Coturnix japonica: one gene and its partner. The protein of the gene in region 2 purifies or fractionates together with the protein of the main gene of each other region. This does not show direct contact. Links are inferred from orthologs where the notes say so. Each region holds a gene or a part of one and is shown on either strand. Other genes may lie near its edges.

Region 1 (3,747 bases), on a different chromosome or scaffold from region 2:
CCCACATAGAGGCCAGGCGCTGACCATATCAGAACCCATATGGACCCTCAGTGCAATCTGCTGACTGCATTCATATGAACATAATTTAGTGATACCAGCCATTAGAAAAGTAACTGCTTTAGCTGAAAATTCATCTTTGTTGTAATTGTTTTATTAGCTCTTAATTTAGCAGATCTTTGCCAAACCTCATATTGCCACAGAGCTTTCAGTACACAGACCATAACTGGCAGTTGTTATCTTAGCAGTTCCTCAGAACAGCTGGCCTGGGCAGCTACTCCAGTGCACTTCTTACATCACCTCCTTGAAAATCCAGCTCCAGCTGCCTTCAGGATAACACAGCATGGGAGACTGACAGATGAAAACCTACTGCTCGTGTTTCACAATGCACCTTACAGCAAGGCTGAAGCTCCACCTCCCCTACAGGCAAGACAGAGTAACACTGAACTTCTGGAGAAGCTAAGAAGCTCAGAGCAGTGAGATAAGCATCTCTGCTACAGCTGCAGCAAAATAAGCCAAAGCAGGTTTTATCCAATTTGTTTCAGTCTCTGAATCACAACAGAAAAAAAGAGACTTAAAAGGGAATGCTGAGCTGATACAGTGCTTGGATTTGTGCATTCTCTATTTCCTTCCTCTTGTTATTCTGTAAACCAAGAACTGCCAATTTAATATTGATGTAATATCATTACCCGGTATGGGTAAGTACCAACAGGTTATTGCATATAAGAAGTTCTCTTCGGAAATAAAAACATGATGCTTCTTCAGAAAAATCACTGAAGCAAATAACAATACAACAGCCCTGGATGCCTGGAACACGGCATAAAACTCATACAAACCCTCCAAACAAAACAAATCCAGGTTCAGTGCTAAAATGCTTGAGTAACAACAGTACTTAGGCACAGGTAGCACCAGCAGCCAGACAGACATCACTGCAACTTACTCGTTCAGTTTGTAGATTTTTTCTGAGAAGAAAACTTCATCGAGCAGCTTATGAATGTTGCGCCTCTCTGCAGCCAGCAGGACGCCGTCGTTGGCCAGGATGCCCAAGCAAGTACCTGCGTGCCCTATTGCCTCCATGGCATATTCCACCTGGTACAAGCGGCCTAGGAAACGAGTTACATCACAACACTGATAAGGCAGCACTGAATGAGACCATATATAAGGAAAGGTGAATTTGCAGGAGTTACACAGATGCCCATTTTACAGTTTAGGACTCGTTCCTTGGGCTGGGGCCAGCAAATGAGTTTTTAGAAACAAGTGCAGAAACAGAAAAGTGCCCTATCTTGATAAGGTAATCATGGGTGTAATTAGTGCAGAGAAGAATTACAGTTTAAAGAGTAGATGTACTTTGGAAGAAAGTCAAAATGGGCTTTAAAAAAAACAATGGAATCATTGATACTGGACAGGTTGTCTCTTAAGACAAAAAACATGACTTGTAACAAATCACAGCAGCACTAACAGTAACAGAACAGTAACAAAATCCATCCATGCTCCAAGGAAAGGTGAAGGGCAGTGACTTATTAAGGAACTCTTTGAGCAGTGGAATGTGGTGCAAATCCACAGGTGTGAATGGGGTGTGATCACACCGATGCCTGGATTAGATGAGGACTGGGAAGCCTTCGCTGTGTGGCTGTGGTGTGCACACAGGGCTATTCTGACAGGTGAATACGGTCTGTGCAACTCACACGGGGATGGACACACACTGCCAGCAACCAACCGGCCCTGGGATTTACGTGTTACGTCTGAGAGGAGGAACGGCAGGCAGACGGTTTAATTAGAAGCGTAGGGTTACAAAGTACCTTCCGGAGAAAATATGGTGGTTCTGGAGTCATATCTTCGAGACTGCAAGAAGCAACAGCTCGTTAAGGCCCGTCACCGTCCTCCCCAACACCGCACCCAACAGGAGCAGCTCCGAGGCGGCCCCACAACAGCCCCGTGCTGAGGTGCAATGTCGGTACCGCCCCCCCACCCGCGGCCCTCGCACACACTCACACACACACACTCACCATGGTGCCGGAGCGGCGCGGAGCGGGCCTGCAAAACAGCACAGCGCGTTAAGGTGAGCCGGGTGATCCCACACGGCCCCGAGCACAGAGCGACCCGCCCCATCCCCGCCTGCAGCACCGAGCGCCCCGGGCCCGGAGTGCGGAGTCATCCTCACACAGCCGAAGGGGGCACCAAGGCCGCACCGCCCGCCCCTCGGCCCCTGCTCTCACCCGCCCTCCCGCTCCCTCCCCCCCCTCACTCACAGCGGCCGGTATCGCGCTGTGCCGAAGCGGCGCTGAGGAACAACGGGCGGTTACACCGGGCGCTGCACAACCTCGGCACCGGCACCGCGCGTCGGAAATGGCGGCCGCGCCTGCGCAGTGCGTCACCCCCACGTGACCTCGCGGTCCCAATGGCGCCGCTGTGCGGAAGGAGCGCGGCTCCGCCATGTTTATGGCAGCGCCGCCATGTTTATTGCAGCCCCGCCTCACGGGGCGGTACCTCTCGTCGCGTACAGCGCGGCCGTATCGAACCACACCTTCTCCACCGCCTCCCGGCCCCGCGCACACATGTCCGTCAGGTGCTTCCAGCCCGTCCTGGCCGTGACCATCAGGTACTCGGCGTTCTCCGGGTACAGCAGCGCCGTGTGTGCCGCCATGACGAGCGACTGCGCGAAGCGGCCGCACACGAGCATGAAGAGCGCGGCCCGCTCCGCGGCCGACAGCGGCTGCACGCTCTCGAAGCCCGCCAGGATGTGGCCGCCCACACGGAGCGGCTCGGAGCTCTCGATCATCATGTACATGATGGCGATGGCCAACTCGAACACGTAACAGCCGTAGCTCATGTCGCTGAAGTCCAGCACGCCCGACACGCGGTACCGCGGGGTCGCCCCGTGCGGAGAGCAGGGAACCACCAGGATGTTGTGGTCGTTGAGGTCCCCGTGGTTGATACCTACACGGGAGCGACAAACGGTACTTAATAACTAATAACTAAGGTGTTTCCTTGGCTGCGACCCCGATCTCCTGGAACAAACTGTGACGTGATTGAGAATAAAACACTCACAAGCTCGAAAGCTGCTTATCTTGGGCGTGACTTCCTCCCTGAACTGCTGGATGACCCATTCCACAACAGCCCGGTGCTGGTTCTGGCCCAAGGCGCCCACGTACTGATCCAGCAGGGGGACGTTAGCCAGGTTCCAGATGAACTGAGCTCGATGCAGACTTGCTACTGATGGGTGATGGAACTTCTGCGGGAACAGAACAAAACAGGCCATGAGTTAAAATCTGTGCTGAATACCGACAAGTAAAAGTAGAGTCTGAAGGATTATTTCATCATAGAATCACAGAATGGCCTGGGTTGAAAAGGAGCACAATGACCATCTGGTTCCAACCCCCTGCTGTGTGCAGGGTCACCAACCAGCAGCTCAGGCTGCCCAGAGCCACATCCAGCCTGGCCTTGAATCCTGCAGGGATGGGGATCCACAGCCTCCTTGGGCAACCTGTTCCATTGAACAATAAGACTATTATAAGCCTATCAATACCTACATAAAACCTGAATGGTTTTCCTCCATTCTTCCCGTATAGATTATCCTAAACCCTTTGTCTCCAAATCGCTTCAAATCAATGGTGACTTCCTGCAGTGTGACAGGGATGCTGTTGCATGGAGGCCCTGCCAAAGCTGCAGTCACACAGCTGGATTCTGCAGCTGGTGCTATAGAAGCTGCTGGAGCAGAAGAGACAAAAACTGGCACAGATGCACTCTGTG
Region 2 (3,647 bases):
ACGTATCCACGTGCTGCCAATTGATGACACAGTAGAGGGGATCACAGGGAATCTCTTTGAGGTCTATCTCAAACCATACTTCCTGGAGGCATACAGACCCATCAGGAAAGGTAACAGCACTTGTTATTGAAGTCCTGTTTATGTGCTGTAGTTCTGAGACTGAGTAAAGAAAATTTCTCTGCACTTGCACAAACCTACAAGGCATCAGACTGGCTGGTAACTGTAGAGTGAGATTTTACTGATGCTGATATTTGTTCATTTATTTTGCTACAGTGAATGGGAGCATGTTAACTAAGTTGCTACCACTTGACAGGATTGGGTATTTGCTTTTGTGCTTTTGTATTAAGCAATTGGTTGGATATGCCAGATGACACCCTAATTAAATTCACTTCTTGAAAATAATTCAATCAATAACTGAAAGAGTGCTTGGAAAACCAATTGCACTTTTAGAGCTATGCTAGTAGCACATCTGCTGGAACAAGAAGGTCCTAACACAGCATAAGTGCAGGCTGAATAAAGTTTTCCAGTTTCTGTGGCCCAATTTAGTCAGATATGTATTATCCTACTAGAAGCAAGCAGTTGTTGCAACTAGTAACAACTTAGGAAGATAAATTCAAAGTAAGTTTTTTATTATGTTAGGGATTTTTGCTCCTTCCCTTGTTGCTTCTGGATAGAATTTCTTCTTTGAGCTGGTAGGTGGTAGTAGGACATTCAGGGATTGACTTTGCACTTCTTTGTGTGCACTGGAACAGCCACTCCAGAAAATCACCTGTTTGGAGCAGTGGTAGCAAAAGCAGTGTACAGATGGTGGCTGGAGTGAATTTCTATAGTGAAACAGTCAGCAGTAGCTGTCCTCGAACATAAAGCAATGGAAGTCAAAGTGAGGCAGTTGGAGAGCTGTATGAAAAAACACCTGTTTTGGGATTGAGTCTCATGTAGCTCTGCATATTTCTTGAAAACCTTTGGTTGCTCAGGGTGGCATACCATTTCAGTATGCCTTTGGTTTCTCCTATCTCATGGCTTTTCACTTGTGGTAGCACTGTCTACTGTCCCTTAGGCTATACACTACAAAAGAGCTGACTGCTTGCAAATTGATAGCTAGTTTCTAAAGCAGACAGAGAAAAACATGAGAATCTTTCTTTTGGACCCTATTATTAGTCTGTTTGCCTTTTTTTTTTTTTTTTTTCAGCAGTATCTGAAGGGCTTTTTCTTTTTTCATAAACAAAAGGATTTCTAAAACAGCTAAATTGAAATTGAATGGAAAATAGACATGATTAATTATGTTTAATTGTTTGGTACTTAGTTGGAATATTCTTTTCTGTTGTTTTCTGTTTTTTTCTGCATGAATTTGAGAAAATTAAACTGCTACAGGTCTTAAGTGATGTCCTGATAGTCACAGTGTGTGTAGCTCTCAAGTCTGAAATGCAGAGCAATATGAAAAATGCCAGTGGCATATATATGTATAGCCTACTTCCTTGTCCATTGAGGCTGCTGGATAGCACAGGAATTGACATTTTGGAGGATGTCAGTTGCAACAGGATACTGAATTGTGGGTTTTCACAGGTGACATTTTCCTGGTGCGTGGAGGGATGCGTGCAGTGGAGTTCAAAGTGGTGGAGACAGATCCAAGCCCTTACTGCATAGTGGCTCCAGACACAGTGATCCATTGTGAAGGAGAGCCCATCAAACGAGAGGTGAGCAGGATCTTATCACACAATTCTTGTACTGACTCCAGTCTGTCCTGTGAAATCTCTCTGTGACAGTGTTTTCAGGTCTGGGAATGGCATTTTATGTATTGAATGAACCTCTGGAAGCTCTCTTTCCAGGGGATGAGCTGATGCTGGCAGTAGTTGGAGAAATGTGCTTCCACTGTCCTTCAGATACTGGGATTACACTAATGCTTAGGCCATAATTTGGTAGCAGCTGGTTTTGCATCTGTTCCAGGTATCTATTGCTGGGCATTAAGTGGAATTTATGGGTATTAAATGTATCATTTAACTCCAAAGTTCCCTTGATCCATAGCAGGAAGGCTTAAACGTGTTGCTAAATTTCATGCCACGTGAGGAGACAGCAAGTAATGCTTTTTGAGTGAGATAATTGAGATTTCTAAACAGTTGGTTTTGTTTTAACTTTATTTCAAACCCTTGAGATATCTAACCTTGGTCATCCGAAGTTTAAGACAGCCTGAGCAGCTGGTCCATCAGGAATAGGCCACTTTATTTTTATAGAAAAGGAAATCTCAGGAGTAGGGATAATTTGGCCATGACTACCTTTTAACTAGCTGCAAGTCAGACTGGGTGCTGTTCTCGGCTTAGCTCCTCTCTCTGTTCAGCAGTTATGGGACACTGAAGGAGACCTCTTTGGGCTTATGAGGACACCACAGAGGCAGACCAGGAGCAGGTTCAGCCAAGGCTACCAAAATGATGAAGAGCTGGAGGTCAAAATAAACGAGATAGGGCAGCCTAGAGTAGGAAAGGTGCAGCAGAAGGCCTACTGGCAAGGTGGAAAGCTTTAGGCAGCCTGACTTTTCTGAGAGCTGTGACCAGGGACAGGACTAGAGGCAGTGGCACAAGCTGAGTCAAGAGAAGTTCCAGGCAGATACTAGGAAAAAGTTTCCCAAAGCCTACAGCAAAGCCTAGAGATCTCCTCTAAGATTCCAGGTGATGTTAATTAATGATTTTATTGTGACCTAATGTTATAGTGTCCTGGTTTCAACTGGAACAGAGTTGATTTTCTTCATTGTGTCTGATATGGTGCTATGTTTTGGCTTTAGGATAAAAACAATGTTGGTAAATTCTGATGATAGTTGTTGCTGAAAAACACTGTCTGGAGCCAAGGACATTTCAGTTTTTTAGCTTCAGGCTGTTATGCAGCAGGGTGGGTTCTGCTGAGAACCCCCTGTGGGGGTCCATGGGGTGGACCCTGTCCATGTGGGTGTCTCCGGGGGTTTCCTATGGCAGGGAATTGCCATTGAATGTTTGGGTAGTCAGAGCTAAGAAACAAATGTGAAAGACATGAGAAAGACTTGAAAATGAGATTCTCAAAACAACAAAGAAATTACATTGAGCAAAAGCCCAGACTCCTGAAACTGGGAAGGGATTGCTGAACCATTGTTTTCACTCAAGTGTTTAATGCATTTCCTTCCTTGTAGGATGAAGAAGAGTCATTGAATGAGGTGGGTTATGATGACATTGGTGGCTGCCGGAAGCAGCTGGCTCAGATCAAAGAGATGGTGGAACTTCCTCTCCGACACCCTGCTCTCTTCAAGGCCATAGGGGTGAAGGTAAGGACCTGTGTGCATCAGGTGGATGAGTGGTCTTGCTTTTGCTGATGGCTCATAATCTAGGAGGCTTAGGACATACTGGAGGGGAATAAGTAAGAGGAATAACTTGTGTGTTGTTTTTGTCTTTTTTAGTGCTGGTATGAGGGGAGAATTTCCTCACATATTTTACAGATTGAAGCACTGGCACCTGTAAAACAGTGGTGTTTTGAATAAGTGCTGTTGGTTACTGGCTAGGTTTTTGTTTGTGTGTCATGTGAAGCAGTCAGGTTGTTGATGATAGGATGGCAGCTGTTGCATGAGGTTGCATCATGATTTCAGAGTGACTTTGTCAAAATGCTTGTGATTTCACTGTGAAGATTCTTAG

The links. Proteins that work in one complex are often made in the same cells at the same time.
Region 1: the proteins of VCP (region 2) and PSMA4 fractionate together in Homo sapiens (co-fractionation; 5 studies listed by BioGRID, with this or other methods). This does not show direct contact. The link is inferred for Coturnix japonica from reciprocal best matches to the Homo sapiens genes VCP and PSMA4.

The regions. Positions count from the first base shown.
Region 1 is NC_029525.1:2,860,123-2,863,869, forward strand, and holds the start of PSMA4 (proteasome subunit alpha type-4), read right to left. Parts: upstream 2,365-3,747; 5' UTR 2,247-2,364; intron 2,032-2,246; 5' UTR 2,007-2,031; coding exon 2,004-2,006; intron 1,840-2,003; coding exon 1,797-1,839; intron 1,775-1,796; exon of another isoform or gene 1,683-1,774; intron 1,101-1,682; coding exon 938-1,100; intron 1-937. Other genes in the region: HYKK (hydroxylysine kinase), read right to left, coding at 2,471-2,934, 3,046-3,229. UniProt on the Homo sapiens protein: Component of the 20S core proteasome complex involved in the proteolytic degradation of most intracellular proteins. This complex plays numerous essential roles within the cell by associating with different regulatory particles.
Region 2 is NC_029547.1:7,825,125-7,828,771, reverse strand, and holds part of VCP (transitional endoplasmic reticulum ATPase), read left to right. Parts: coding exon 1-110; intron 111-1,563; coding exon 1,564-1,694; intron 1,695-3,151; coding exon 3,152-3,283; intron 3,284-3,647. UniProt on the Homo sapiens protein: Necessary for the fragmentation of Golgi stacks during mitosis and for their reassembly after mitosis. Involved in the formation of the transitional endoplasmic reticulum (tER).